7 linked regions of the Sus scrofa genome follow. The protein of the gene in region 1 purifies or fractionates together with the protein of each later gene. This does not show direct contact. Links are inferred from orthologs where the notes say so. Each region holds a gene or a part of one and is shown on either strand. Other genes may lie near its edges. The genes, in order: STX12, NAPG, VAMP7, SLC7A1, VAMP3, VAMP4 and STX10.

The links.
Region 2: the proteins of STX12 (region 1) and NAPG purify together in Homo sapiens (affinity purification with mass spectrometry; 3 studies listed by BioGRID and IntAct, counting the BioPlex papers as one, with this or other methods). This does not show direct contact. The link is inferred for Sus scrofa from reciprocal best matches to the Homo sapiens genes STX12 and NAPG.
Region 3: the proteins of STX12 (region 1) and VAMP7 purify together in Homo sapiens (affinity purification with mass spectrometry; 3 studies listed by BioGRID and IntAct, counting the BioPlex papers as one, with this or other methods). This does not show direct contact. The link is inferred for Sus scrofa from reciprocal best matches to the Homo sapiens genes STX12 and VAMP7.
Region 4: the proteins of STX12 (region 1) and SLC7A1 purify together in Homo sapiens (co-immunoprecipitation; 3 studies listed by BioGRID and IntAct, counting the BioPlex papers as one, with this or other methods). This does not show direct contact. The link is inferred for Sus scrofa from reciprocal best matches to the Homo sapiens genes STX12 and SLC7A1.
Region 5: the proteins of STX12 (region 1) and VAMP3 purify together in Homo sapiens (affinity purification with mass spectrometry; 3 studies listed by BioGRID and IntAct, counting the BioPlex papers as one, with this or other methods). This does not show direct contact. The link is inferred for Sus scrofa from reciprocal best matches to the Homo sapiens genes STX12 and VAMP3.
Region 6: the proteins of STX12 (region 1) and VAMP4 purify together in Homo sapiens (affinity purification with mass spectrometry; 3 studies listed by BioGRID and IntAct, counting the BioPlex papers as one, with this or other methods). This does not show direct contact. The link is inferred for Sus scrofa from reciprocal best matches to the Homo sapiens genes STX12 and VAMP4.
Region 7: the proteins of STX12 (region 1) and STX10 purify together in Homo sapiens (affinity purification with mass spectrometry; 3 studies listed by BioGRID and IntAct, counting the BioPlex papers as one, with this or other methods). This does not show direct contact. The link is inferred for Sus scrofa from reciprocal best matches to the Homo sapiens genes STX12 and STX10.

The regions. Positions count from the first base shown.
Region 1 is NC_010448.4:84,917,501-84,921,626, forward strand, and holds the start of STX12 (syntaxin-12), read left to right. Parts: upstream 1-1,326; 5' UTR 1,327-1,456; coding exon 1,457-1,574; intron 1,575-4,126. UniProt on the Homo sapiens protein: SNARE promoting fusion of transport vesicles with target membranes. Together with SNARE STX6, promotes movement of vesicles from endosomes to the cell membrane, and may therefore function in the endocytic recycling pathway.
Region 2 is NC_010448.4:97,972,175-97,976,403, forward strand, and holds the start of NAPG (gamma-soluble NSF attachment protein), read right to left. Parts: upstream 2,801-4,229; 5' UTR 2,416-2,800; coding exon 2,360-2,415; intron 1,087-2,359; coding exon 1,019-1,086; intron 1-1,018. UniProt on the Homo sapiens protein: Required for vesicular transport between the endoplasmic reticulum and the Golgi apparatus.
Region 3 is NC_010461.5:125,862,105-125,866,102, reverse strand, and holds the start of VAMP7 (vesicle-associated membrane protein 7), read right to left. Parts: upstream 2,801-3,998; 5' UTR 2,681-2,800; intron 1,226-2,680; 5' UTR 1,154-1,225; intron 1-1,153. UniProt on the Homo sapiens protein: Involved in the targeting and/or fusion of transport vesicles to their target membrane during transport of proteins from the early endosome to the lysosome. Required for heterotypic fusion of late endosomes with lysosomes and homotypic lysosomal fusion.
Region 4 is NC_010453.5:6,545,655-6,549,154, reverse strand, and holds part of SLC7A1 (high affinity cationic amino acid transporter 1), read left to right. Parts: intron 1-2,245; coding exon 2,246-2,348; intron 2,349-3,500. UniProt on the Homo sapiens protein: High-affinity, low capacity permease involved in the transport of the cationic amino acids (arginine, lysine and ornithine) in non-hepatic tissues.
Region 5 is NC_010448.4:68,472,497-68,476,720, reverse strand, and holds the start of VAMP3 (vesicle-associated membrane protein 3), read right to left. Parts: upstream 2,801-4,224; 5' UTR 2,644-2,800; coding exon 2,642-2,643; intron 302-2,641; coding exon 220-301; intron 1-219. UniProt on the Homo sapiens protein: SNARE involved in vesicular transport from the late endosomes to the trans-Golgi network.
Region 6 is NC_010451.4:114,172,169-114,176,391, forward strand, and holds the start of VAMP4 (vesicle-associated membrane protein 4), read right to left. Parts: upstream 2,801-4,223; 5' UTR 2,645-2,800; intron 2,563-2,644; exon of another isoform or gene 2,474-2,562; intron 2,119-2,473; exon of another isoform or gene 1,890-2,118; intron 1-1,889. UniProt on the Homo sapiens protein: Involved in the pathway that functions to remove an inhibitor (probably synaptotagmin-4) of calcium-triggered exocytosis during the maturation of secretory granules.
Region 7 is NC_010444.4:65,912,853-65,916,931, reverse strand, and holds the start of STX10 (syntaxin-10), read right to left. Parts: upstream 2,801-4,079; 5' UTR 2,657-2,800; coding exon 2,622-2,656; intron 2,383-2,621; coding exon 2,213-2,382; intron 2,038-2,212; coding exon 1,943-2,037; intron 1,868-1,942; coding exon 1,805-1,867; intron 819-1,804; coding exon 711-818; intron 617-710; coding exon 510-616; intron 435-509; coding exon 340-434; intron 238-339; coding exon 161-237; 3' UTR 1-160. UniProt on the Homo sapiens protein: SNARE involved in vesicular transport from the late endosomes to the trans-Golgi network.

The sequences.
Region 1 (4,126 bases):
GAGGTTTCCAGCCTAGGGGTCTAATTGGAGCTGTAGCTGCCGGCCATAGCCACAGCAACGCAGGATCTGAGCAGACCCTGTGACCTACGCCACAGCTCACGGCAGCACCAGATCCTTAACCCACTGAGTGGGGCCAGGGATCGAACCTGCAACCTCATGGTTCCTAGTCGGATTCGTTAACCACTGAGCCACACGGAAACTCCAAACTTCACTTTAAATAGAGTCAAATGTTAATGAAAACATTCTCAAGAAGATTTTATAGGTAAAAAAGTAAAATTTACATGATTTGCTATATGACATAAAACTATGGATTCTAAGAAATGGTAGGGTTTTAATAACCAGAATGAGAGCCCCTAAATGTCAAATGTCATCTGTCCTTTTCTAAAAAGAAAAAAACAAAACAAAACAAAACAAAAAACCTCTGTTACAAATGCTCTAACAGAAAATAGAGATAGCCTTGCTTACAAAAGTTCTAAGGCTGAATGCAGGCTCATTCACCCATTTGGGGTGTCCCCCCCAACTCAGGCAAGCAGCTTCCTGCCTTGGCTATTTCCCAGAGATAGTAAAGCAGACTTGGTGTGAGGTGCGGTGGAGAACACAGGAAACAAACACTGCCAGTTCGCCTTCACGTCTATCTTGATCTCCTCCCAAAGCAAAATCCTACCCCTGTATTTCCATTTATCATACGCTTACAAAATGCAGTCTTTTATGGGAACATTGAGGTCATTCACTCAAAATGCAAAAAAGGCAAAAAAAAAAAAAAAAAAAAAGAGAGAGAGAACAACTGAATTGCAGTGAGGGGTCACACATAATATGTGCTCAATAAATCTTACCATTATTATTATCGTTTTATTGTTTAGACTACGAGACTACAAGAGGGGTGGTAGAATGAGAGCGATTTGTAAACCATAAAAGTTCTCCACAAATCCTACCAAAGCCTTTGAGGCTGGAAGCAGAGTGAGGGATTTCAGGAGTTTGGTTACGCATCTGAGCTTCAAGGTTATCAAATTCTCCCATATTTGGGCCTGAAGTCTCAGAATAGAACAGAATAGGACGTTAGGGCTGAGATCATCTGGTACAATTTTATGCTAATCGAAAAATTCTTGCCTTCTTGTCACCGTGCCCTGGCGATAAACAACACCGCCACCCCAGATCCTCCAATCCGAGCCCCAAAGGTATGATGTCATCGCTCCGCCCTGCATCCCCAAGCCCCAGAGCGTCAGGTCTCCAAGCTACCCATCTCGGCACCAGTTCCAACAGCGCCTGCGCATTGTGGGGCCGGTCGGGTCGGGGACGGACGCGTGCGCGCCGCGAGGGGGCGGGGCTAGTGCGCACGCAGCTTCATCCCCTTCCCAGCCCTTTCTCTTCCCGGTTTCCCTGTCAGCCTGCGGGTCGGGTCTGGCGGCTGCTTCCGGTAGGAGCGCGGTGCAGGGCAAGTCGGTCTCGGCTCCTCGTCATGTCCTACGGTCCCCTAGACATGTACCGGAACCCGGGGGCCTCGGGGCCCCCGCTCCGGGACTTCAACAGCATCATCCAGACGTGCAGTGGCAACATCCAGCGGATCAGCCAAGCCAGTGAGCCGGGGTACCGGGCTGGGGGGCGGGGACCATCCTGGGGACAGGCCTGGGTGAGACTACCGGGACGCGGAGCCCGGCCAAGGCCACAGCCGAGGCCGTCTCGGGCCCTCCGCTCTGGGTGCGGCGGGCTGCCATCCTCGAGTCTGCCAGGCCCAGGCTCCCTGAGAGTCCCTAGCCCCAGCTGAAGCTCGAGTTTCTTCTCAAGAGTTTTGCCCTAAAGGTGTTGGGGCCAGGACTACAGTCCTGACAACTCCGGGGTGGGAGGGTGTATATGTGTCCTCTCCAGAGTACTAAGTGAGTCGACGTGGTGCAGTGGTCAGCCGAGTTTTTCCTGTCATCTGCCTCCCTCCACCCACCTCTCTTTCCTCTTTGGTCTGGGTCTGGAGTTGTTTACTGGTTTAGACTTTACTTTCTGCTCAGCTTCTGGCTTCTTGGACGTCAGCAGCTTTCAATTAAGGGAAGTGGAGAGTGCATATGTTTTGGTGATTTTAACCCAGTTCTTTCTGTAATGGATTTTGAAATCAGACACAATGACTTTAAGGGGTGAGATTCTGCTTTAATAAAGAGATTTCACCGAAAACATTTCAACTTACGTTGTCTTTGTAGCAAAAGATATGCATATATTTTTGGATTTCAAGCCAATGAGGGTTTTGTTTTCCTTCCCCATTTAGTTACTCTTTTGAACTAACATGAGACAGGCAAAGGGACTTAGTCTCCATCAGCTAGCAAGTAAGACATGGCAGAGTTGGTGGTGGATTTCAGAATGTCATTGCTTGTCTTAAAACTACACACCATCCAACATTAGGGTCTGAATGAGACTGCAGTTGAATGAGTCAAATACAAGCTATTTCTTGTGCCTGAAAATCAGCTCAGAACCTTGTAAACAAGAGGTCAGCAGCGACTATTTGGAAAGAATGGTATCATCATCATCCTTGTTTTTTATTGTGTTTTTGTGAGCTTGGTTGTCCTCTGTTAATAAGTAGAACTAGCTGGCCCTGAATTACAGTTATGTTCTATCTATCACTTTGCTTTAAATTTAAATGTATAATGTAGAATTTTGAGCTAGGGAAAGTTTCTGATGGAAAGCGTTTGAGCCTGGATGCTTGGAAAGTGGAAAGAAGAATATGTGGTCTATTAACTGCAGAAATTTCAAACAAAAATTAATATGACCACTGGTTAGAAAGTATAGTACTTTGTGTTCCAATTTCCTTTTGTGAGGGAGCCGTAGCCCAGATTAGATCAGAAAATTCTCGTTCAGGGCTGAAAGTTTCTTGTTGAGGCCAAATCTCATTTTAATGTCTATCTGTGAAATGTTCATTCTACTTCTGTTTGAGTATCAGGCATGTAGTATGTATAGGAACTGGCATGGGTTCTTTTAACAGGGAATCCGTGGCATACATAACAACCAAAATAAAAAGTTGAAAGAGATCAGTACTATAGAAGAAGTGTAATAAAATTATAGATATTCAGGAGAGAGACACCTTTTTCATTTGGGAGGGGCCGGGGGAGGTGTTTGGGCATTTGAGCTAGGTTTGGAAAGATGGTGGGAAGGATTTGAACTTTTGGCAGTTAAAGAAGAGAATAAAATGAACAAGGTGCAGTAGTGGGAAAGCGTGTGGTGTGTATAGAAAAGTAGAGTGATTTAATTTGGCTAGAATGGTGAATTCCAGAAAGTAGTGGAAAATAGGATTGGAAAGGTAAGTCGAGGCCCAAACATGGAGGACTGTAAGTGCTAAACTAAGGGGGCTTGGATTTAATTCTTTAGAAACATGTACATTGAGTTGGAAGGGAGCGACTGGAATCATGGACACCAGGTAGGAACTGAAAATGCAAAGAAGGAAGGAAAGGATAGGAGAGGTATCTTTGGTGATAGAATTGATAAAGTTTATCTGTTGATTAAGCAGGCATGAGGGGAGTTCCCATTGTGGCTCTGTGGTTAACGAACTAGTATCCATGATGATGTGCGTTTGATCCCTGGCCTTGCTCAGTGGGTTAATGATCTGGTGTTGCCATGAACTCTGGTGTAGGTCACAGACGTAGCTTGGATCTGGTAGTGTTATGGCTGTTGTGTAGGCCTGCAGCTGTAGCTCCAGTTCAGCCCTTAGCCCAGGATCTTCCATATGCTGCAGGTGCGGGCCTCAAGAAAAGTGGGCATCAGGCTCAAGTGGATAATTGAATTCAACTATTAATAACATTAATAACTGACATTTGAGTACATACTGTATGCCAGGTAATATAAGCTTTATAGGAGTTTCTGCTGTGGCTCAGCAGGTTAAGGACCTGATATCATCACTGTGAGGATTCAGGTTCAATCCCTGGCCTGGCTCAGTGGGCTAACGATCTGGTGTTGTTGCAAACTGTGGTCTAGGTCCTACGTGCAGCTCAGATCCAGTGTTGCCGTGGTTGTGGTATAGGTTGCAGCTGCAGCCTTAGTTCAACCCCTGGCCCAGGAACTTCCATATGCTGCAGGTGTGGCCATAAAAAGAAAAAAAAAAAAGTGCTTTACATGCATTATTTTACCTAATTTTGTAACAACCCCGTGAAACAAT
Region 2 (4,229 bases), about 13 Mb from region 1:
ATGCTGTTATTGCTGATTAGTGTCATCTTACCTGATTTCTTTTTTCTTGGTGACATACTAACACTAAATGCGAGGCTAACAAATGTGATCAAGGCTACTGCTGAAACACAGTAAAATGTGTTCAGGGTGTTTCAAAACTGTATTATGCTTTATACCCAAATAATCACGGATATGCTGAAAGCTATCTCCCATAACTTAAAATGCTAAGTTTTTAATAATTCTCTTTTGGTTGCAAATTCCAGATCATTTTTATCTTACATGCATATAAACATATTAATATATGCCTATAATGTAACACTTCATAAACATTCATCGGTGCACCTCCGTGGAAGGGTCAAAAAGAACAAGAGCCAAGCCACGGCATGCAGCTCTACTGAGAATGAGGCTAAGATGTTTTAAAAAGTCAATGAGAAAAATCTTCAGGGAGTTCCCTTTGTGGCTCGGCAGTTAACACACCCGACTAGGATCCAGGAGGATGCAGGTTCGATCCCTGGCCTTGCTCAGTGGGTTAAGGATCCAGCATTGCCATGAGCTGTGATGTAGGCTGCAGACGTGGCTCAGATCCAACATTGCTGTGGCTGTGGCATAGGCTGGCAGATGTAGCTCCGACTCAACCCCTATGCTGTGGGTGAGGCAGAAGGAAGGAAGGACAGAAGGAAGGAAAAGAGAAATAGAAAAAATCTTTCAAAATAACAGGTAGCAGAAGAACATGACAAAACTCTCAGAGATAGTATGAACTGAATGAAGTTCAAGAACATATAAAGGATGCTAAAAGCGCAGCTGCATCCCCTGCTCCCATCCTGCCATCCCAGGAGAGGCAGAGGCCACTGAATCTGCAGCTCACACTCAAGACATCTGAAAACAAGTGGACAAGTGCAAGGATTCAGGCAGTTTCGTTTTGTCTTTTAAACAATTAAAATGCTACAGGATGCGTTAGGAGGAAGAATTATACCGAGATGAAGTGAGCAGCCCATGTCAAGATTACACACCACAAGGACTGGGCTACAGTCACTCATACCTGCTTTTCCATATTCAGAAGCAGCACTGTCATAATCTGGCTTCCATTTTAAAAAACCAGTTTTCAGGCTAAAAGGAAAAGAAGACACAATTAACACAAGTTACCAACCATGTTCGTTCATAAGTAAGAACCCTGCTTGTAAGCACCTTATAGGTCATTAAAGGGGGCAGGGGACCATGGGCCAATCACATTCCTAAGAACCTTGCTTGTAAAGGCTCTGATGGGCTCATTAAAAAGGGGGGGAGGGGACCATCCCTACAAAGTCACCATCTCACTCAGCTCCATTGAAACTTACTGATAATCACATACAACCTCACTACCTTCCCCTCCCATTGTCACAGACACAGTTGTCCCCCTTTTGAAATGTCTGTCCAAGTAGAGTGGAGGGTCTTCCTGCACGGTCCCCAGACTAGCAGGAGCAGCACCACCTGGCAGCGTACAAGAAAGTGTAAGTCACTGAGCGAGCCCCAGCTCTACCGAACCAGACACTCTGGAATAGCGGCGGCAATCCAGGGTGTAAAAAGCCCTGAGAAGTATTAAAGCTTGAGAAGGGCTGAAGCACATAAGTAAGCAGTGGGACCTGTGAGACTGCAGCACAGGAGAGGCCAGAGAATGACCGAGGAGTCATCAGCAGATGCCACACCAAGGGCCCCATAAGTTTCTCTAGGAAGACTGCAGAGAAAAGCCAGGAAGACTGCAGAGAAAGGCCAGAAAGACTACAGAAAAGACACTCAGGGAGACAGAGGGAGTCAGCAAGAAAGACTCCAATGAGCCACCAGGGGACAGGAAGGACCACCTGAAAGACGAGGACGACTGGAAGACAGAAGCTGCTTTCCAGGATTCCAGGATTACTTGGCATCTCAAACGCCACACCAAAGTACAATCCGATTGAATCCTTATCTAACCTGCCCTTTCTGCAATACTTTAATTTCAGAATAATTTCAGGCTTACAGTTTAGTGACTGTCAAGCTTAGGTGTGCTTACAAATTGCCCAATGAACATCATCTTTAATTCTAAACTTCAGTTAGTGACGACCTGCTTACGACTCTGCCAGCTTCCAAGGGACCAGGGGACACCTTAACTGAGGAAAAAGAGGGGCTACCGGCCTAGGTGGGGGGAGCCCCCAGACTGCCGGGCTCCGGGGTACCAAAGAGCCCCCACTGCCCCCATCACCCGAGCCGCGACAACTTCCGGGTCGACGGTAGCGCTTCCGGGCCAGCGCCCACCCCCCCAAGCCCCGCTCGCCCGCCCCTGCGCCCCCCGCGCGATGCTAACTCGGACAGCTCTCGGAGGGGCCCGGCCCCGGCGTCCGGCCTGGGCCGCGCTGGGCCTCTCACTCACTATTTCTCTGCTTTGGCGAGGTGCTCCAGTCCCTCGTTTATCTTCTGCGCCGCCATCTCCGCGGTGCGGCCCTGACGTGGAGGCCGAGAGCCCGCCGAGTGGGCGTGGGAACGCCGAGGAGGAGGCCGGGACGGCGCCGCTGCCGCTCCACCGGGGCCTGCAGGGCTCAAACCAAGTGCGGCGAAGCGGCCCGGGAGCCGCGCAGGAAACGCCGCGCAGGCGCAGAGCGCCCGAGCTGGCCGCTAGCTTGTCTCCATGCGCAGCAGTGGTGGGTAGTGAGGGAGGTTCTCTCATTCATTCGTTCGTCAAGCACCGGTTTGTCGAACACCTACTATGCGTCAGACACTGTCCTAGTGCCGGCAGGTCGCCAGGGAGAACGAGAGACCGAGTCCGGCCCTCGTGGATCTCGCTTCCCGCTCCCTTGAAAGCGCATTGGCACTGCGATCCGTGACCGCATAGACTCGTTTATTTTTTACTACATGTGCGCCCCTACCGCCTGTCGGTCACCGTCAGGTAACCCCTGACAGATGCTCAGAAGTGAGCACTCCGTGACGTTCGGGAGCGAGGTTCGCCAGCAAGGGTCTGGCAGAAATAACAGTAACTCCGTGTCCGACTCACATTTCGTGGGGTTTCAACACCTGCAAGGTGATTCTGCGATAGCATTGCAGCTCCTTGGTCTCCACCCAACTAGCTCATACTCTCATCCCCAGGATCACACCCTCGACCTTACCAGTCATGGGTAACTAATTACTAGTGACTGTGCCCCCGACGCATCACTTTCAAGCAGACACTTTATTTCTTGCTGTCTTCTAGCTCTGATAATTTTTCACCTTCAGCAGAACTCCCACCTCTTCCTGGCCTCTGCTCCTGTTCACACCTCCCTGTTTACCCATTATAAGCTCCATGTTCCATCATTGTAACTACTCTTCTGCGTGTGCATCAGCCTCCCTGGCCCTCTTCCTTTCTCCTTGTATGGAAAAGCCCCTGTTCTCTACGGACTGGAACTGCTCTGAGCAATTGAAAGTGGTTGGAGAAAAACAAAGCAGCAACATGCTAACGTGACCCGTCCCTGGAATCTGTGCTCATACATGTCAAGGAGGCCCTGGTGCAGCTAAGTTCCTGAACTGCATTTCACTGGACCAGTCATCCAAGGGCGAAATCTCTTCCTGGACCATCTTGGGCCCTCTAGGTGTGACTCTGTAAACTAGACTGGGCAAGATGGAGGAACAGGGGGAAAAGCACACATTTATTTAACAGAGGTTTTGTGCGACACGAGAGCCTTTATAAGGAAATGAAGACCCGCAAAAGTGGTTACTCCTGTGTTTTTATGCTTGCTGTGCTAAAGGCTGGAAAGTCCTGGGAAAACACGATGGGACAAGGGCAGGAGCCCAGCACAGTGACCTGTGGAAACTAGCAAGGCCTTTGTTCTCACCACCTTCAGCACCTCTGTCTTCAGAGTGTTCCTGTCCTCCAGGTACAGGTAGCTCATCTCTCACATAGGGTATATGGGGTTCGGGAAACGCTGTCCCCAAATACGGCACCTTGGCACATGGAACCCAGCAGAAAATCCACAGTCTAACTGGTCCTTCAGTCATAATTTCTTTATTAAGGCTCCCACATCACCTAAAACTTCTGTTCAGTGAATCTGTAGTCTTTCCTCCTATTAATCTGTCTGTCACTTTCATGTTCAGACCCAGCCAGGGGCCTAAGAGGGTTGAGGAGAACTTTTTCCTCCCTTACAGGGTCTCATGGGAGAAGGGAGGAATCAAACCTGCCTGCACCTGCTCTTTCTCAGGTTCCCCCAGCTGAACCCCTTCAGTATGCCAAGGAGCCGTACTTTGGGGTAGTGCGTTCTGAATCCCACTGGGAC
Region 3 (3,998 bases), on another chromosome or scaffold:
TTCTGTATTTTTATAATATTAAGATGTATATGAATATCCTGGATTATCTACATGTATATCATATAAGTGAGTGATGGCACACAATTCAGTGCTGCATTTACATCACGAAGGCATAGGTGCCAAGAAATTCTCTAAAATAACAGTACTTAATTTTTAATGTATTGGAAGCATGTGTGGGTGCTCCTAGGTTGGCACATCCCAAAGTCATAATGCAATCATGACTCAAGCACTCTTGTACGCCTGTTGTGTTTTTCAGTCAGTTAAAAAGACAAAATTTATCTTCTGCAGTAATAATTTACAACTGAAAGATATCTGCATGGAAAAAAAAAACCTTTTAAAAACTGAAACTTGTATCTAACATTCTTCCACACTGAAAATGACAATAATACTCAAAGGTGTTTGCACCAAGTAGAAACCAAATGAGACCAAATGTGCTGTATGAATAAAGGTTGTGCAACTGTTCAAACAGAAAAAAGAAATGGAAGAATTAACTCTTCATATGCGTAATGGTAATAGCCAATGCAAAATTTAAAAAAAAGCATTCTGTATCATTTGTATTATTGCAAGGAGATGTACTACGTTAAAGCCTTGCAACAGTTCATTAGCAGAATATTTCATAGGAAATACATTATGGAAATTAAATTTTTTCACCCTTGTATCATGGGGCATATTATTAAATCAGCCCATTAAACTAAAAGCAGGGGGCATGGAAAGTCTCAGGGAAAAGATGTGAACTCATTTTAGGAGAGAGCCATAGGACAAGAGAAGGCATAAAAGTGAGAACATGCTAGAGAAAATAAATAAACTAGCCTGATGAGATGGAATGGTCTGCATTTGGCAAATGTAGATGTTTAGGGATAAGTCTAATGGCCATAAGTGAAAAGAAAGGCTTCTATGAGTTAGGTAATTTAGATTTGCTCAAACAGGTTTCCTATTTCAGTTCAACATGTTTTCTAAGGGTTTACTTTATGACACCCAATATAGTAGACACTGGAAGTACTAAAGACCAGTTAAGGTCTATCATCTACAGAGCCATAGTACAATATGGAAGACAGACATAAGCAAATAAATGCAATAAATCTTAAGAGTGAATGATTTAAGAAGGTACACAACTGTTTAGAAGATTTTTTTAAAGGTTTTATGATTATCTTACCTTGGGTGAAGACAAGAAAGAATGTAGGTGTCCGTCTATGTATTGGGAATTTCCTCAGTATATAATTATTTCCTTTTGGAAAAGAGGTCAAAGTGTCTACTTTATCCTTACTAGGTTCCTAGTGTCCAGCACAGTGCCTGGCATATAATATTCCCTCAAATATTTAATAAATTTAAAAACACTGAGAATGTTTTGGTTTTAAATATATTATAAATGATAGATAATTTCATAATCAGTAGGACCTGGCAAGAATAATATTTTGATTACCAAACTATCTTCCTAAGTAATATAGAGCAGTGGAGCTGAGAGAGTAATCCAATCCTCAACTCTTGTTAGGGAAGAAATAAGCCAGTAACTGAAAAACCACCAATTCTGATGTAATAACCTTGGAGGAGACAGAATAACAGAGAACAAACAATATGAGAGAGAAAAAGAAGAGGTGTTTATAATAAGCCTAAAGTCTGGTCACAAATCAACATTATTCTTGTTGGTATTACAAATATTCTTTTTGTTGTGATGTTATGAGACCCAACCCAATCCTTCCGACTTTCTCAGGATAGGAGACTACCCTGTCAAACAAAAAACCTGTTCTATTTTGCCTTAAGCAACACCATCATATACTATCATCTTGAGTCTTCCTGTTTGCGCCCCCCGACACACACAGCCAAGTAAGCCACCGAGCGTAGCTATCTCCTATGTCGTTTCCAGGTATATCCCTTGCACTTAAAAGAGTGTCCAACACATATTAGCTGCTCAATAAATGTTTGTTAAACATATGAGTGGGTCTTCTCTAAGTCACAGCTATTCAAAGGGAAAGTATGTCCCAAATATGACAGTATCCTCTGGGATCAAGGGTAGGACAATGGAGGTACAGGTAGTTGAGAACAATTAATAAGACAGAAAGAAAAGGACTTGATAACTGATTGTGAAAGTTGCGAAGGAGGAAGGTGTAAAGCATTTACTAAAGAGCCTAGTACATGGTCAGTTTGTTAAATATTTGTCAATAGTAATAACGAGAACATCATGCGGATCTGAAGCTGAGGAAATAGGTCTGGGCAGAGATACAGAGTTTACAATATGAACTGAGGAAGAAGAAGAATGTCAACAAGGGGCCTTGGAGGAAGGGCACACAGAAAACTAGAAACCCACGAAGGAGCCCAGAAGTAGGAGGTAAAGCAGAAAGTGACGTCATCGAAACAAGGGCGTAGAGAGGAGTTTTTTGAGGACTTAAGAAATCTCAAGATATTCCAATGCTACAGAGAGGTCTTGCAGAATACAAACTGAGGGAAAGTTAAATTTTCTGTAACAACTTAGGTGACGCACTCTGACTCTTTAACTCGAGGCCTTTTCAACAGCATAGAACGCACTTCATCAAAACTGGAGCTGCCCGACAATTCTAACTGTCGACACCAGAGAAGCCCTAGTCACCCTTGCATTGCCTCCCAATTCCACCTTCCCACAGATACCTCTTCCCTCCCTCTGCCGTCGTCTCCCCGCCTTCCGCCCAGCCCTCCCTGCTGCTTTTACCTGTCCGGGCCCTTTGGGAGAACTCGAGGATTAGGACAGAGTTGCCCGGCTCAACAACTGGGAGCAGACCACCCGCTCCCAGAAGAAGATAGACCAGACGCCGCCGGCTTCCGCATAGAGCGCCCCGCCCGCGCTCGGCCTCCTGGGAATGCGAACGCCCCTCCAATGGGAACGAGAGGCGGGCGGGGCCTGCTGCGTTCCCAGCCCCCCGCACTTCCCGGAGCCGCACTGCATTCCGGGAGTGGTAGTTTCCTCTGGCTTATCCCCGGAATCTGTCACTCGGTCCATCAACAACTCTTGTCACAAACAACATCAAGCGCTAGTCCCTCGAGTAAGAGAGAGGACGCAGGGCCACAGAGAGTCCACTGGCACTGAGTCTGCAGAATAGATGAAGAGCCGAGCTTTCCCTGCCATCTCCTTGCTGAGTCTCAGCAGGTAAGGTAGCCCGTTACTTCACAGAGGAGATAAATTCATCTGACAGGAACTCCCTCTACTCTCGCCATGAAATTTTTTAACCTCCTTGGATTCCCTCAGCAATCCTTTTTCCCAGTCTTTTGCAATAATCATGATAATGAAAATAATAACTTCTTTTATGTAAGCTCCCCTGTCCCGTTTACATCCCTATTTCTTACCAACCTAAGTCTAGCTCCTGAAATAAATTCGTCCGTTTTATGACTCAACAGCTCCCTGATGACTTGCTCTTTATTTTCAACATTTAAAGATTGTCAAAGTTTCTCTCATCTAAAACATTCCAAAGTCAGTTTTCTCAACCCCAATCCTCCCTCACCACACACAGACTTAACCTCTCCTTTCCAGCCAAAATTCTAGACCCTCTTGGGATAGAACATGATGGAAGATAATGTGAGAAAAAGAATGTATATATGACTGGATCACTTTCCTGTACAGCATAAATTGGCACAACATTGTAAATCAACTATACTTTAATAAAATGTAATTTTCCTAAGGCATAATCTTTGATCCTATTGAACATAGAGAATGGACATACATATATAGACAACTTGCAGAATAATAAATATTGAATGATAAATATGTGTATGTATAAAATGTAAATCTCAAGATAATCAAATGCAATTAAGTACTGAGATTCAAAAAAATTCTCAACCATGTTGTTAAAATAAAGACAATTTTCAACTATTACCATACTTCAACTTTGCAGGATCTTACATTTACAGGCGCTATACAAACTGTTCTGCTCTAATATGTACAGCATATTCCATACCTTATTTACTAGTATTAGCTCTAGGTGGGCTATAGACTAACTGAAGTACATTCACAAAATCATGACTAAAATGATCTG
Region 4 (3,500 bases), on another chromosome or scaffold:
CCAGGGGACGTGGCTGGTGAGGCCAGTTGCCCTGAGTTTATAAACAGTGGCAGACCCGGGACGGGGGCTTACCTTTTTTTCTGTTGGGCCACACCCGTGGCATAGGTAGGTTCCCAGGCCAGGGATCAAATCCAAGCCACAGCTGTGGCAACGCTGGATCCTTAACCCATTGTGCCACCAGGGAGCTCCTGGGGGAAGCTTATCTGATCGTGTCCAAGAAGACCTTCTGACCGAGGAGCGCAATGGACTGGAGAGATTGCAGCGAGGCCCCGGGCGCCCTGGAGGGAGACAGCTCTTTGTCTCCTGTTTCCTCCTTGAATTGTGTTTCGTGGCCCCGGGAGCAGGGGTGTCCCAGGCCCCAGGTGGAGGCTCAGAGGTGCAGGGTCTGTGCTCCTAGTCGGTGTGGTGCTGGCTCTGGTTCCTGGTTGGTTCGGGGCCAAAGAGCTGGTTCCTCCCTGTGAGAGTAGAACAGCCGGTCTTTGTACCTGGTCTGGCCTCGGCTGTGCCCCTTGGGCTCATCAGGTCGCCGGAGGTAAGGCGTTGGGCTGTCTCGGGGAGTGAGTGGTTGGCAGTGTTCGTGCCCTTGGCAGAGGGCACCGTGGTCCGTGCATTATTACATCCCGAAAGGAAGCTAGTTTTTCTCTGTCGTGTGACTGACTCTGCGTTCTTGGGCCTGATGGCAGGGGTCAGGTTCAGGAACCTCGTATGCCAGGATATCACCAGCGTGGCTAAGGATTAAGGAACCGGAAATGGTGTTTTTTCAGTATTTACATTTAATTTGACCTTAATCTCCTTCCCGCACTGATTAAGGGGCTCTAACCTTTAAAGGGACGGCAAAGTACTGGTGTCGCCAAACCGAGGATTTTACTCCTTTTCATTTGGCAGGAGGGGTAGATAAGCCTTGAGTTTTCTGAAGTCACCTCACACCGAAGAAGCCGGGCTCACGTTTCTCTGAGGGGGAGCGTGGGCATCTGCGGCTCACGCAGCGGGACCCCCCTCTGATGCCCCAAAGCCTCACGGCTCTTTGACTCTCTTGTTTAGGCTCAGTTGGCGTTTGGTTTAGTTGCAGTGGTCTGCATGGGCTCAACCAATACCTGTGGGAAGTAATGATTTGTTGTTATGTTTCAACTTGTACTGATTGCATGTGATTTGAAAACACCCCAATTTTAGCCAAGTTGTTGTTATTTGCTTTTTAGGGCTGCACCCGCGGCATGTGGAGGTTCCCAGGCTAGGGGTGGAATCGCAGCTGTAGCTGCCGGCCTACACCACAGCCACAGCAACTCGGGATCTGAGCTGCATCTACAACCTGCACCACAGCTCATGGCAATGCCAGATCCCTAACCCACTGAGTGAGGCCAGGAATCGAACCCAAATCCTCACAGATCCTAGTCGGGCTTGTTAACCACTAGGCCACGAAGGGAACTCCTAGCCAAGTTGTTTTTAAATGGGAAACTTGACACATTCCCCACATAAATAGACATGCATATTCTCATAAAAGTAACAAAGGGTTTTCAAATAAGCAGACATGTCTTGTTTTGTTGTAAGCGGGGTCGTGGTGAATGGGCTGGTCTTGCTTGGGAATAACGCTGCTCTCCATGCCCGACTTCTGGGTTAGGAGCCCCTGAGAGTCCTCCTGGAGCCCCGGGCTTGCCCTCAGCCTCCTCATCCCTCTGCCTGGTGATGCAGTGTGTCAGGGGATGTGCCTGTCTGTTCAATGGCACATACCTACCACGTAGCGACTGGCATGCTTTCATGAGTGCCATTGGCTGGCAGATGGATGATGGGTGGATGGACGAACATGTTTCTGGGTCAGCACAGTGTTGAGGAGACCATGCTGGGCTCAGAGCCGTGAGCACCTAGCTCAGATCCTGGCTTTTCCGCTTCTTAGCGGTGTGACCTTAGGTAAGTCCCCCAGCGTGTCTGGACTTCTCTTTCTCCACCTGTAGTGCAGGGAGAGCTCGCAAAATTGCCACAAGGGTCAAAAAGGGTCCTGTCGATGAAAAGCACTCTCACCAGTTAGTATAAACGTTGGTAATTGTTAGCATCTGTCGATCACTGTGTATGTGGTTTGGTCCTGAGCCTGCCTTTCCTTGAAGCCAGCCCCAGTGTTTTCACAGAAAGGGTGGCGGGTGGGGGAGCAGAGGCTCGCCCCTTGCGTGCCCTGGGTGGCGGGGGTGGCGGCGCTTCTGGTGCTGGCGGTCAGCGTGTGGCCGTGGGTCCTGACGGACGTCTCTTCCCTCCCCAGCTGTCATGGCCTTCCTCTTTGACCTGAAGGACTTGGTGGACCTCATGTCCATTGGCACGCTCCTGGCGTACTCGTTGGTGGCCGCCTGTGTGTTGGTCTTACGGTACGTATGGCCGGTCTGGGTTCCAGGACAGATGTGCAGCTGCCCCGTGCTAGCCTTGCTCATAGCAGTTCGTGTTAAACCATCGAGGGTTATACAGTGCACAGCTCGGTCGTTGGCAGCTCCTTTGGGAACTGCCTGGAAGACGCTGGGGCCGGGAGGTTGAAAGCCTGGGTACAGAGAAGGTGCTTGAAGAGGGTTAGGGCGGCCCCACCTCCCTCTCTCCCTCTCCCTCTCTCTCCCTCTCTCTCTCTCTCTCTCCCTCCCTCTCCCTCTCTCTCTCCCTCCCTCTCTCTCTCTCATGGGCCCTGAGTTTTCTGGCTGATGGTGGGTACAGACAGGTTGTCAGCCCTACTGCTGGGCCAGGTTTCTTGGGTCAGTGCCTTCGAAGGCTCAGGCTAATGATTTCCATTTGGTCCAGGTTCTTGGGACAGGAGGGACCTGGGGACGAGCCGTGGTGGGAATTGGGAGAAGCCAGAAACGTGGCTCCCTGTGATGCTTGCGTGTGTCCCGTTCCTGCCCCCGGAGGGACAAGCTCTGTTCCAGGGCCTGGAGCAGCCGGGGCTGAGGTCCAGGAAGACGCTCGGGTTCCGGCTTTCAGCCGTGCATGAACCAGGCCAGCCCCGTGGAGGCTGTAAGAAAGCAGCTCCGGGCCCAGGCTTGGTGTCCTGGGCTTCTCGCTGCCGCAGTGTCCCCTTTAAACTAAGCACATCTCCGGTTTTCTTTTGCTCCGGGAGACAGGGCCCTGCTTCCTCACACCCAGGAACGTCCCCAGGCTGCGTGCGTCCTGAGAACGTGCGCTCGTGGGGCTGCTCGGTGTTGGGCCCCTGGCCAGAGCGCCCTACTTCCTTTTCAGGAATGTATGCTTCACGGCCTCGGAATCCGTCCCCAGTGCGCTCCGCGGCTAGGGTATCTGGGTTGAGCGTCAGCAGTGGCTGTGGAGAATCCGCTGAAACTAGTCTGCTGGTTTCTGACCACTTTTTCCATCCTGAGAGCTCAATGCTAGAATCTTCTCTGAGTCCCCCACCCCACTCCTTTTCCTTTTTTTGTCTTTTGCCTTTGGTCTTTCCAGGGCCTCACCCGCGGCACATGGAGGTTCCCAGGCTAGGGGACCAGTCAGAGCTGTAGCCTCCAGCCTATGCCACAGCCACAGCA
Region 5 (4,224 bases), about 16 Mb from region 1:
TGTGTGATTCAGCGGCAGGAAAACAAGCTTGAAACCAGGAGAGCGTGACTTCTCAGGAGCTTAGATAAGGGTTTTCAAAACCAGGGGCACTTTTTTGTTACACTTGTGAGAGTCGAAATTTACTTTACATTTACACTTTTATGATACTTTTTCTAAACAGAATTATTTCCAAAGCCTTCCCATCTTGGCTTAAAATGCAACAACATTGGAAAGCAATACCTCGTCCACTTGATTTTGTGTCTGCTGAAGTCTTCTGTTGCTGCCAGCGGCAGCGCTGGAACCTGCAGGCGCACCTGTCGACCTGAGGTAAAGGCACAAGCATGGGTAAATGAGGATTCCAAACACACTTCTCCAAGTGTGAAGGTGCACTCCAGGACACTCAGTGTTGGGAATTTCAGCACTAAAGCGGAAAAAGGAAATCCTTCCTGCAGTAATGAACAAAGGTTCTAATGCCATTTCTTCTAGTTTCTCTATAATTTCAGAGATTCACCCACATGTTAAAAGTGATCAAGGTCTGAAATGAGATTTAACAGGATCTACTTTGTATCACAAAAGCACCTGATCCTAAGATAAGTAAACTCTATTTTCCCTATTTTTTTGCCTTTTTTTAGGGCTGCGCCCTGCAGCTTATGGAGGTTCCCAGGCTAGTGGTGGAATCGGAGCCACAGCTGCCGGACTACACCACAGCCACTGCAACTGGGGATCCGAGCTGCGTCTGCAACCTACACCACAGCTTGTGCCAACGTGGGATCTTTAACCCACTGAGCGAGGCCAGGGATTGAACCCACATCCTCATGGATCCTAGTCAAGTTCATTAACCGCTGAGCCCCGAAGGGAACTCCTATTTTCCCATTTTTTATGACTTGTTTGAAGGTATAAGTCTACTTAAATGCACTCAGCAATCTTCTGATCTTTTCGCTGTGGCAAAGAATTGTATAAACAATCATAAAATGCCCTTTTCCAGTATGAGGAAATAGATTCACTTAGAGAAACAGAGTTGGGAAGACCCAGATGCCGAGTAGAAGGCACTGGGAGTGGAAAAGGTAAGACGAAGCCACGCTTCTTCTTCGCTAAATAGGTACTTTTTTTTTTTTTTTGTATGTTTGCCTTTTAGGGCCACACCCGCAGCACATGGAGGTTTCCAGGCTAGGGGTCCAATCGAAGCTACAGCTGCCAGCCTACACCACAGCCACAGCAACTCGGAATTTGAGCCTCGTCTTCGACCTACACCACAGCTCGTGGCAACGCCAGATCCTTAACCCACGGAGTGAAGCCAGGGATCGAACCCGTGTCTTCATGGATGCTATTTGGGTTAGCTAAGTGCTGAGCCACAACAGGAACTCCAAAAAGGTGCCTCTTTTAAACCCTCATTGAAAGCTTTATTTTTCCCCAGGCAGACCTTTCACGACCACGCAGGCTAGGAAGTCCTAATTGCTTCCATTACTTGGTTGGCAATGCTTTGATTTTTCATGTATTAATAGAGTCTTGCCCTCTCTAACAGATCACCGACTCCTGTGTCTTACACGTCTCTTCCAGTATCCCAGACAGCACCTAGAGCACTTATCTTGCATATAACAGCCACTGATTCATTGATTCAACAGTTATTTCATATCTATCATGTGTCAAAGACCAATGATAAAGGAGATCCCACCCTTGCCCTCAGAGAGTTTATTGTCTGAGAGATAACAGCAAAGGGCCATGTGTTGGTGCATCTTCTCATTTAATCCCCAAAACTCTTTGAGGGAACACTATTGTTAACCTCATTTTATAGATGAATAGCTTTAGAAAGTTGACACCACTGGCTGCAGTGGCGCCTGTGTTTAGATTAGGTTCTGCATAATTCTACAGATCTGGACTTCACACACCGAGAGCCGGCACGGCAGCTTCAAGGAGGTACATACACTCCGGAGTGGTGTCTCTTGCTCCGTTAGGAACCCTAGGAAAGCACCCATTCCTTTCTCCTCTGGGGTGAGCACTGAGCAGGCTGGAGTGGGGACAGGGGCTCCCTGTGATTTTTGACACTTAAGAGTTCCCTGGATGTTACCACCGGAAACTCCCCGCTTTCAAGGGTCACAACAAGAATGCTTCGGCTTAAAAAAAAAAGAGAGAAGGCCTACGGCTATGCGCCCGAGTCCACTCTGACCCACTCTGACCGCAAGTGCCTCAAGACAGGGCTGAAGGCCCCTCCCTTGCAACTTCCGGAGCCCAACCCAACCCGATAGCGAGCAGGTCTCCAGGACGAGGGCAGTGGCCACAGCTCCCCTCAGTCAACTTGGAACGGGAAGGAGGAGAAAATGGGACGGGGAGGGGCGGAGGGAGGGGAGGAGAAAATGGGACGGGGAAGGGCTTTCCCCTCCGCTGGGAAACACCGGCCGCCCCGCCCTCGCCCCTTCCGCGGCCGCGCGACCGCCGCAGGGCCCTCCGGGGCGGCAGGCAACGCCCAGGGCCGACCCGGCCCGTCTGCAGCTCGTATCCCCGGGGCCGCCCGCCGCCCACCCCCAGGCCTCGGGAGCCCCCGCGAAGCCTCGGCCCGCGTCCGAGACGCTGCAGAAGGGAGCCAGGCCGAGCCGGGCCGGGGTCCCAGCCACTGGCCGCCGCCCCCAGGGCCCGAGGTCGCTCCGTGTCGCCTTGTGTCACTCACATTTCGGCGGCGGCGACAGCGGGCGAGAATCGACGAAGAGGCGCAGCGGGACCTGAGGCGGGGAACCTGGGCGGGGCCAGGCGCAGGCGGCGGTGGCGGCGGCGCGGGGCCGATGACGTCAAAGGGAGGGGCTGACGGGGTGGACGGGGCGTGCGCGGCGGCGAGGGGCGCGCCGGAAGGGGCGGGGCGCCTCGGGGGCGGGCCCGGAGGGCGGTTCCGCTCCCTCCCCCCACGGCCGGCCGCCCTGACCCTGGGGGCCCGGAGCCTTAGTCCCGGGAAAGGGACTGTGTGGGTGGTCGGGGGTGGGGGCGCTTTACGTTATTCTGGGCCCGTGGGTCATTCCTGTGGCCGTGACGGTATCAGTGACAGCCCATGGGCTTCTGCTTAACGTTGCGTCTTACCCAGTGATGCTAGAGACACCGCATTTCCCCAGGAAACTTTTAAAATAAGACCTGAAGCTCCTTCAGGGTATTCGTCAGAGGCATTGATTGGGCCTAGGGTCCCTCTCTTCGTGTAGTCATTTGTGACACAAATATTTGTCATTGCACAGAGCTTATTATAACCCGTTTACAGGAGCCTTCACATCAGTAACTGGGCTTTGTATGGTTCTGTATTTCTGGACCCCCCCAGTAGGGAGTAGGTCCCCAGCTTTTGATTTGGGTTGAGGCCCAGGCACCAATTCAGTGAGTTACTCTGCAAGGTATTAAATTGCTCCTGACATTATTCCTACCACCACAGGCAACTCCTACACTAAACAAACACCACAGAACACCGGGAGGTCAACCGGCAGATTCGATGAGAAATGAAAAAATAAACACCAAACTGTCTGTTGCAACCCTAAATGGGATAATTGGAAAAAGAAATATTGATGTATATTAAAATAAACAGGAGAGTTCACTATATAAAAAAATTAGGAAATACAGTAGAAAATTGACAGAACACTGTAAACTAGGCTATAATGAAAAAATTTTAAATCACTACATGAACAAATAAAAATAGACAAGAAAGCAAGACAGAGGAGGTGAGATTTGAGTTGGATCAAGTGGCAAAAAGGAGAGTTTCCAGGCATGGGAGGAACAACCTTTCATAGACAAAGAAACTCAAGATGGACCTGGTTTGAACAGACCGAGGAGGTGCGGGTGGTGGTGGGACTGGTGCAGGTTAGGGCACAGGTGAAAATAAGATTGAATAAAAGGTAAAGACTAACAAGCAAGGAGAATGGCATGTAAACACAGTGGGCTCTCGAAACCGTTGAAGTCTCATGGATTGCGGCAGATCTGTCACCCAGAACTTGTCCAGCAGTAGCCCCGGGATGGATCAGAAGGAAGAGGGTCCACCAGGGAGACAGGAAGGTCTGTGGTGAAAGGGAATGAGATGAGCGACCAAATGCTCAGAAAGGAAGGCTTTAAAAAAACTGCAGAGGGTTTTAACTGGAAAGGTGAATTTGGATCCGTGTCTTCAACTTTCTGCACGTAGACAAGTGATTGATGTGTTGAGAGGTGCTGGAGAAGACAGTTGGCAAGCAAGTATTCTAGGAATAGTGGCTCTGAGAAATTTCTTCTTTCCTGAGCAGATCTGAAGCT
Region 6 (4,223 bases), on another chromosome or scaffold:
TGGCATATGGAGGTTCCTTGGCTAGGGGTCTAATCGGAGCTACAGCTGCCGACCTACACCACAGCCACAGCAATGCTAGATCCAAGCCACGTGTGTGACCTACAGCACAGCTCATGGCAATGCTGGATCCTTAACCCACTGAGCAAGGTCAGGGATCTAACCTGCAATCTCATGGTTCCTAGTCGGATTCGTTAACCACTGAGTCACGGTGGGAACCCCTGTTTTGTTTTTATATATGGCCACACCTGCAGCATATGGGATTTCCCCGGCCGGGGATCAAATGTGAGCCACAGCTGCAGTGTATGCCACAGCTACGGCAATGCCGGATCCTTTGACCCACTGTGCTGGGCCAGGGACTGAACCCGCATCTCCACAGTGACCTAAGCTGCTGCAGTCAGGTTCTTGACCCACTGTGCCACAGTGGGAATTCCAACAAAGTCAATTTTTTTGTTTGTTTTGCTATACAAAGTCTCATAGCCTTTTATATGCTAACATGCCCTGTGATTTTTTTTTTTTCAGGAAAATGCTTGAGTATGCAACATATTCAAAATTTTCTTGAGGAAAAGCTGATATATGAAAATATGAGTTTTTAGTATGATGGACTAGAAGATGGATAGATGAGAAAAGCTAAGGTGTACTGAATGTTTTACTATGTGTTAGGCACTGTGTTCAGTGATTAACACATATTTTCTTTTACTCTTTACAACATGCCTGGGAAGTAGACACTAAGAAACCAAGAGAAAACTAAGGCTTAGTAAAAGATAAGCAACTAATAGTGTTAATCGCTCTGTTGATTGAAACAGCAGAAACACAGGACTAAATTAACCAACTGCTGTGTATGATTGGTTTTAATGATCCAATTAGTTATCAGGTTACACACAGTTCTGTTCTGGAAAGACCACTTTCTTTTAACAACCCAGCAGCCCCCTTTTCCTTTCTATAAGAACACCCCTAAGATCTTTAAGTAGACATCAGTTTGTTGGTTAATATTACACACTTAAAAAAGAATAAACATGCCCAGAGTCCAGTTTCATAAACTAAATAAAGTAAAATTTTAAGTTGATTTCCCATCAAAACAAACTGATAAACACTTTGCTTTGGTATGAGACGATTTTCCAAACCAGAAACTTAAATCACCTGTAACAAAAACCAAATACTTGCTACCTAAGTTAATAGCTCTAGAGTTCTTCATTCCACAATATTTCTGTCACGTACATCTGGCATCTGACCCATTTATTCCTCGTACTTTGATTTCAGAATAACTCATTCAAGCAGAAATGTTACAGAATGCATGGAGAAACAGACAAGGGAAGCTACTGAAGCTTTTCTTTTAATTATATCTGTATTTTATTTATATTTTAAATCCTACAAAGGGGCTACTGCCATGTTCAAAAGCAAGTAACAGGCAGACTTACATAACATCTTTATGAAATATACAGTAGAGCTACAAGTTTAGTGATAAGCAAACCCAAAATCAGGTCCCATAATCCAAGGATCAGCCTCAGGAAGGCAAGAAATCACTGACAAACATAAAAGCCATCAGCAAAAGAACAGGCAGACTAACTGCTTGATGAACCACAGAGCAATTGGTATTTGTACCAAACAAGTAGAAGTAAACCATGCTCAGAAATTAGACTTATACATATTCTTTCTACCTAAGATTTCTCCTGCACAAAATACATATGAATTCAGGTGTTTGTGTCTAGGTATAAATGTAAAGAGCGCCTTCATGATGTATCTCAACACTGACTGGAGACACCAACACATTTTTAAAATGTCACATCACCATATGCTTTTTATGTCATCCTACGTTTACAATTTCATGTATGTATTTTTGAAGAGGCAGTACGTTCTGTATTCAATTGCTTTATACGTAATAAACTTCTAACCTGTTGTTTAATAAATGCTGTATTCTTTTTTGCTTTACAAAAACAAGCAAACCACAACTCCCAGTACTTCATTTCACAAAAAGCTTGAATCTGGCAGAGGCTTCCGTTTTCTCAGCCTCGTTCCCTTTCTGACTCCTCTTCCTCATCTCTCATCGACAGCCTGGTTCGTGCAGCTTCATGGAAATAACTGACTTGGTTGGCCAAAGCCTGGAGATATTATTCACAAAACCTGTCAAAGTGTAACATTCACCCCACCTTCCGGTCATTATAAATGTAGCGGAGTTGGCGCTCTCTCTCAAGCCTTTGAATAATGAAACAAATCCGTCTCTCCAGCAAGCAGCACTGTTCACCCCCTATACTCCATCGGTCGCACCAGGCCACGTCCCCCAACATCTGCTCCTACCTCTAGTCCTTTCTGCCCCAAGATACCTGCTCACACTCCGGGCTGACTCCCACTCTTCTGCAATCTTCCCCATCCTCGCCACTGTTCTCTTCCCATCTCCCCAGAGCACCCTACAATTCCTAATCTTCTCCCCCTTAAACCTCTCCCCCCCATTGCACACCCCAGTCCTTGTCATTCTTACTCAGGGCACCCCCGGTCCAACCCCTTTTCCCACTAGGGGTTCCCTCCACTACCCCCGAGGCTGGTCCCCCAGCCTGACGCGGACGTTGGGGGCGGCGGGGCAGGGAAGTCATCTCCGTTTCCTTCCTCCGCACATGAGCCCCTCCCTTCGGGACAAGGCGTGCGGCCGTACCTGAATCTCCCCGGTAGCTCTGAGCAGCTCTCCCGGGCGGGCAGCTCTGGGCGGGCGGGGGAAGGAGTGGGAAGCGGAGGGAGAAAACAGGGAGGGGGATACAGTGGGCGCGGACCCGGCGTCAGCCGCTCCGCCGCAGCTGCGCCCCCGCTCATCGAGTCGATCGGCGCTCCGCGTCCCGGCGCCAGGAGGAGGGGCGGGTCCAGGCCACGGAGATCATCGAGGGAGTCGATTCCGCGTGCAGCTTTCTATCCAGAGGTTTTTGCGGTCTCAGAGTTTACATCTGCATCCGCAGGATGGGCTTGTGCCTTAAGCGAGGAACAGTCGCGGGTTCCTGAGGTCCCAGCCGGGGTCGGGCGTTCAGGAGAGGTAGAGAAAGCTCTGAGAAGTCACCCAGGGGTGGGCGCTGAGGGCTTGATCCTGACTGGGGTTGATGAGGCGTTACTAAGATGGTGTTTTGTTGCTGGCTCCATCCCCTGGGCTAAGGAAGCGGAGCAGAAAAATGAGGATGGCTCAAAGCCCGAGGACCGGCTACAGCCTTTTCTGAAGTAACATCTGTGTGATCCCTTGTTTATAGAATCAGAGTTAGACTTGGAGGGAGATCTTAAGTGACCAGTCCAGTCTCCTTGTTTTAGACATTAGGAATCTCTGGTCCAAAGAGATTGACTTGAGGTTGCACAACTAGTTTGGACAGATCTGGGTCGAGGATTCGGTGTTCTTTCATCTGTTATTGTGGAGTCCTAACCTAAAATAACCGGGTCCAGACACCAGGTAGACACCAGAGCCTTCAGATTTGAGGTGGAAGATGACTCCTGCAGGGCCTTTCCACTGTTCTCTTGACTCCTCCTACCTCCTCTCCACCCAAATTAGTAGCATATTTAAGCCTGCAGTACCAGGGTTCAGTAATACAAAATAATTCTAGTTTTACCTTTGCTTTCCCTTATTTACCCATTCCTCCCACACACGCCCCAGCTGGATTGTTTTATCAATTTATTTCTACCAATTTGCTCCACTTTTTTTTTTTTTTTTTTTTTTTTTTACTAAATATGGCTCCTTTAATACAGTGTTTTTTGATTTAGTGTAATTTAAGCCAAACAAACACTAATTGAAATATACCTTAGGTAGGGTAATGACTCTCAGGTTAATGATGTAGAGAGTTGATTTTTTTTTTTTGGTTGGCGGGGCATGCGAAAGTTCCTGGGTCAGTGACTTGAGCCTCAGCAGTGACAATGCTGGATCTGTAACCCACTGAGCCATTGGGGAACTCCAAACTGAATCACCTGGAAAGCTTTAACAATGAGTGCCCATGCCTTTCTCTGAGATTCTAATTCAATTGGCCTGGGATGTTGAGAAACGGTGAGCCATAGGTTGTCAACCAAAGCTTCTGAAAGTCTGGTATTAGACTATCTGTGAGTCCACTACTCAGATCCAGGCTGACTTGGACTGAAATTGTCCACCTGGAAGGGAAGTTACTTCTACTATGTTTTTCTGCCTGGACATGAAGGTCAGACTACTGATACATAGATGACCCAGAAGTTTTTTATTTTTCGTTTGCCTTCTACGGTTGATTTTGTATCTG
Region 7 (4,079 bases), on another chromosome or scaffold:
TGAGACAGGACCAGAGGTGGGTGCTCTGGCCAGGGCCCTGAGGTCCTATTGGCTCTGGATGAGAGCCTTGAGACAGCTCCCCAGGCATGACCCTCTCCCCCCAGGATGGGCAGGGCCCTGCCGGCGCCCCCAGCTCCAAGGCCCTGGGGGAGGACCAGGATCAGAGAGAGAAGAACAGGATGAGGACCAGGAGAAGCACCCCCAGCAGCACCACAATGGCACACCACTGTCGGCGGTCTGGGGGCAAGAGGGTCAGAGTTCACAGAGGTGAGGCAGTCCTACCCACAACCCACTCCCCCCCTCATCCCACTGCCAAATCGCTTCTCCCAGGGGACTCACCACTGGTCATGTGGGATACTTTGGCCATCTTCCTGAGGACGCCATCCATCCGGGACTGGGTGTGGTCCATCTCATGAGCAAAGGCGTCCAGCATACTGCCGAGATCAGGAGGGCATCAGCCCCTGGAAGGGCTGAGGGCTCCTGGCCCACCCCCAGGGTCACGGCCTCACATGCCCTGCTCGTCCAGCTCCTCCCCAACTCGGCCAGACATGTGTTTCAGAACCCGGATGCTCCCAGACACCATTTCCAGCTGTTGATCCTGTTGGTCCATGATCAGCTGTAGATGGGAGGGGTGGGGACTGCTGTAGGTGGGGAGCCCTGAGCCTGCTGCAGATTCCTCCAGCCCAGCACCTCCAGCCACCCACACAAACCTGCTGTGTAGCCTGCTGCTCTTCAATGTAGCGAGAGGTGGCCGACACCACACTGGCGTCCAGCAAGTCGCTGGATGATTTCAGGGTGGCTGGCTTGCCCGTTAACATCTGTGGGGGCCCAGACCACAGGCTCAGGGAGCGACACCCACTCACGGCAGAGACAGACAAGATTTGTGGCAAATCTAGACAATGGTTAGTCAAGAAGGCAGTTTCTGGAATGGAATGGTGTGGGTTCCTCAGAGCCACCACTTACAGCAAGGTGACCCCAAGACCCTATCACTTGACTTCCCTGTGACTCAGTTTCCTCATCTGTAAGATGAGAAGAGTTGTAATTCCTGTTTCCTCAGGCTGCAATGAGGACTTAATAAATTAAATCCATGGAGAACATATATTATCACATAGACACATGTATTTAAGAAACTGAACTTAAATCCTCGGAGCAGCAGCACACCTGCAAAGCATGTGGACCCTGCTATAGGACTCCAGGCTCTTGAGGCTTCAGCCCCCTACCCCACCCCGCCCCACACCCCATGTGGGTTTAAAGGGTGAGGCTGGTGTTTCACAACATGCAGAGAAAGAACACACAACACAATGGGCAAAGGTGTACAGACAGAGACAGCAGGGAGAATGTGCACAAAACGTATGAGTGAACACACACCCGGGGCAAACACCCACAGAGGGAAATGGTGTGCATGCACAAGGCAGATGGTGAGTCCCCTTGGAGGCCAAGTTCACATGCTCAGAGAGGTCAGGTACAAACACAGATTAAAAGAAAAAAAAGGTAAGCATGTATCTTGAAAACAGTAACACAGTGAAAAAAGGAGAGGCCACCATTCACACACAGGAAAACAGTATAGACCGGTAGGAGAAGGCAGAAAGGATTATATACAGAGAAGAGAGCTCAGGTGTACACATCCAGAAAGAGCAGGCAGGTAGACAACTGCACACAGAGAAGATGAGCCGTGATGCAGAAGGGACAGACATACACATACACAGGAAACTGGTGAATGCACATGGACGCTTCAGGCTTGCATTCCAAGGAGAGGGTCACCTCTAGGGACAGAGGGTAAGGATGTTGGGTCAGGACTCCTTACCTCTCTATTATTCTTCTCCATGAAGGCTATGGCTGCGGGGCTGACCATATGGTCTTTCATTTCCTACGGATGAGGACAGCATCTGAATAAAGACACCACTACCTCCCCACAGTCACCCCCACGGCAAACTCTCTTCACCTGGACTGCTTCCCGCATCCTCTCCACAAACGCCTTTCTCTCCTGCAGGTCTCCGGCTGGGAGCTTGAACTTGCCTGGGTTGGCTTCCACAATGCGTAAGCCTCGATTAAAGAGTCAAGGCCAGACCAGGACAGAACACCCTCCTTTGCCTCAAAGCCCTCAATCGACATCTCCTAAGTGTCCAGCCTCCCCAAGGGCTGGCTCCCAGAGCCCCCTGCCACTGCAATGGGCTCTGCCATGCAGCCCTCCAGCCTCCCCCGCCCAGGATATCGATGGTCTCCTCCAGGTCCTCGAGGTCCCACTCGATGCTGCGCAAGCCATTCCTCAGCTCATTGGTCGTCCAGTCCAGCTCCTCGCGTCCCACCGCCGCGCCCTCCTGCAAGAGCTCGCACCACCGCTGGTATAGCCCACGGGCTGTGTTCACCGCCTTCTGCACCTCGCTGCAGGCAGGGGCACAGCGGGCACAGCTGGGGGCAGGCAGTCTTCCTGCCCATACTGCGCACCCAAACGAATTGGGGGCTCACGAGACCCTCATATCCCCCTGTGTACCCCTCCCACACGGCCACGGGGCAATCCCGACGGTGGTGCCCAGAATACCTGGCACGCTCCGGCTGGCACCCGGGCACTGGCTGGCAGGGGGACAGGACACCCTCTGCCCTCCCCCTTCGCTGTCACTCACCCTCGTACTACAAAAAACGGATCTTCGAGAGACATATCACGCCTCCCACCCGCCCGAGGCCGAGCCCCCTCCCCTCTCGGCCTTGGACGCAGGTTCCCTCCAAGCAATGCAGAACTCGCCGTCACCCACCCGCCCGCTCCCGTCACGTGACCCAGGCCACCAACGAGAGCGGAGCCACAAGGGGAGAAAGAGAGGCCTTAGAGGCCCGAAGTGTGGAAATTTCCGCTCTCTCTTCGGCCATCTTGGTTGTGGGCGGAAACGGCTTCCTGCCCGTACCTATTCCTCTTCGCATCTTGGTCCACAGATGTGTCAGTTCTGTCTGGCTGGGTTCGAGTCAGAGCTCCCTACGCCTTGGTTGAAGACCCAGGCCTTCGGATTGTTGCTGCGCAACCATGGTTTCCCTTCTGGGCAATATAAATAACAATAGTCTCCTTCAAATCCGGTCAGATTATGGCTGGGGAAGTGGCTCCTTCAATTAGTAGATCATCTTTATGATGCTCCTGCACCTAGATCCTGTCCTGGAAGATGGTTCCAGCCCAGGGTCAGGTGTGACAGGTTTGGGGAGCAGTATGGGGATGGGTGGTCTCTCCACCTTCCCGCGGGGCCAGGGTGAACTGCAGGCATTCTGTGACGAGTTCTGTTTGATTTACCCCTCCTCTTTTTTTCCTGCGGAGGAGGGAAGCATCCCGGGGCAGGATGGCCCTGGATGGGGGCCCTGGAAATGCTTCTGGAGGGTAGGATCTTTCTGGGTGCGACCTGGGGGTCGTGGGAGGGAGTGTGGTGGGGGCAACTCTGAAGATAGCCTGCAATGAAGTCCTTTGCGCGTGGAGTGGGACCAGGGAATGTCTGGAGAGGGACTCAGGGTGGCCGCCTGTGCGACAGAACCTTTATGTGTGGGGTCTCCGAGAAAGCATTTTTTTTTTATTGGTGGGGGGGACCGTTGCCCGAGTGGGGTCCTGATTCTTGGAGCGGGCTATCTTAAGAAACCCTCAGAAGGTCGCCCCTGTTGTGTGTCAGAGACAGCGCCTGGGCGGGGGATGTCGTTGTGGAGTTTCGTGGGATTGGGAGTGTGGGGGAGCGGGGATGAGGACGTTCTCAGCGAGTAATATATGGCAGGATCGCTGAATGGGAGCGGTTTTGGGAGAAGTCTTTTAGAAGAGAGAATAATTGACCCCCCCATGTGTCAGAGTTGGAGATGGGGGACCTGAGCGTGATCCAGAGGTGCAAAGGAGGATCACTTTAAGGGGAGGGGCAGGATCTCCATGGAGGGGACCAGAATGAGAGTCCTCAGGGAGTAGCTGCTTGAGTTGGCAAGGTCTTTGTGTAGATCTCTGGGATACGGCGTCAGAGTGAACAGTGAGGTAGCCCCTACACGCCAGCAGGGGCTTTTCTGGAGGGGCGTCACATCTTCCCGGTCTCCGGAGGGAAGGAAGCGAAACTTTCTCCTTCCTCTCTGTG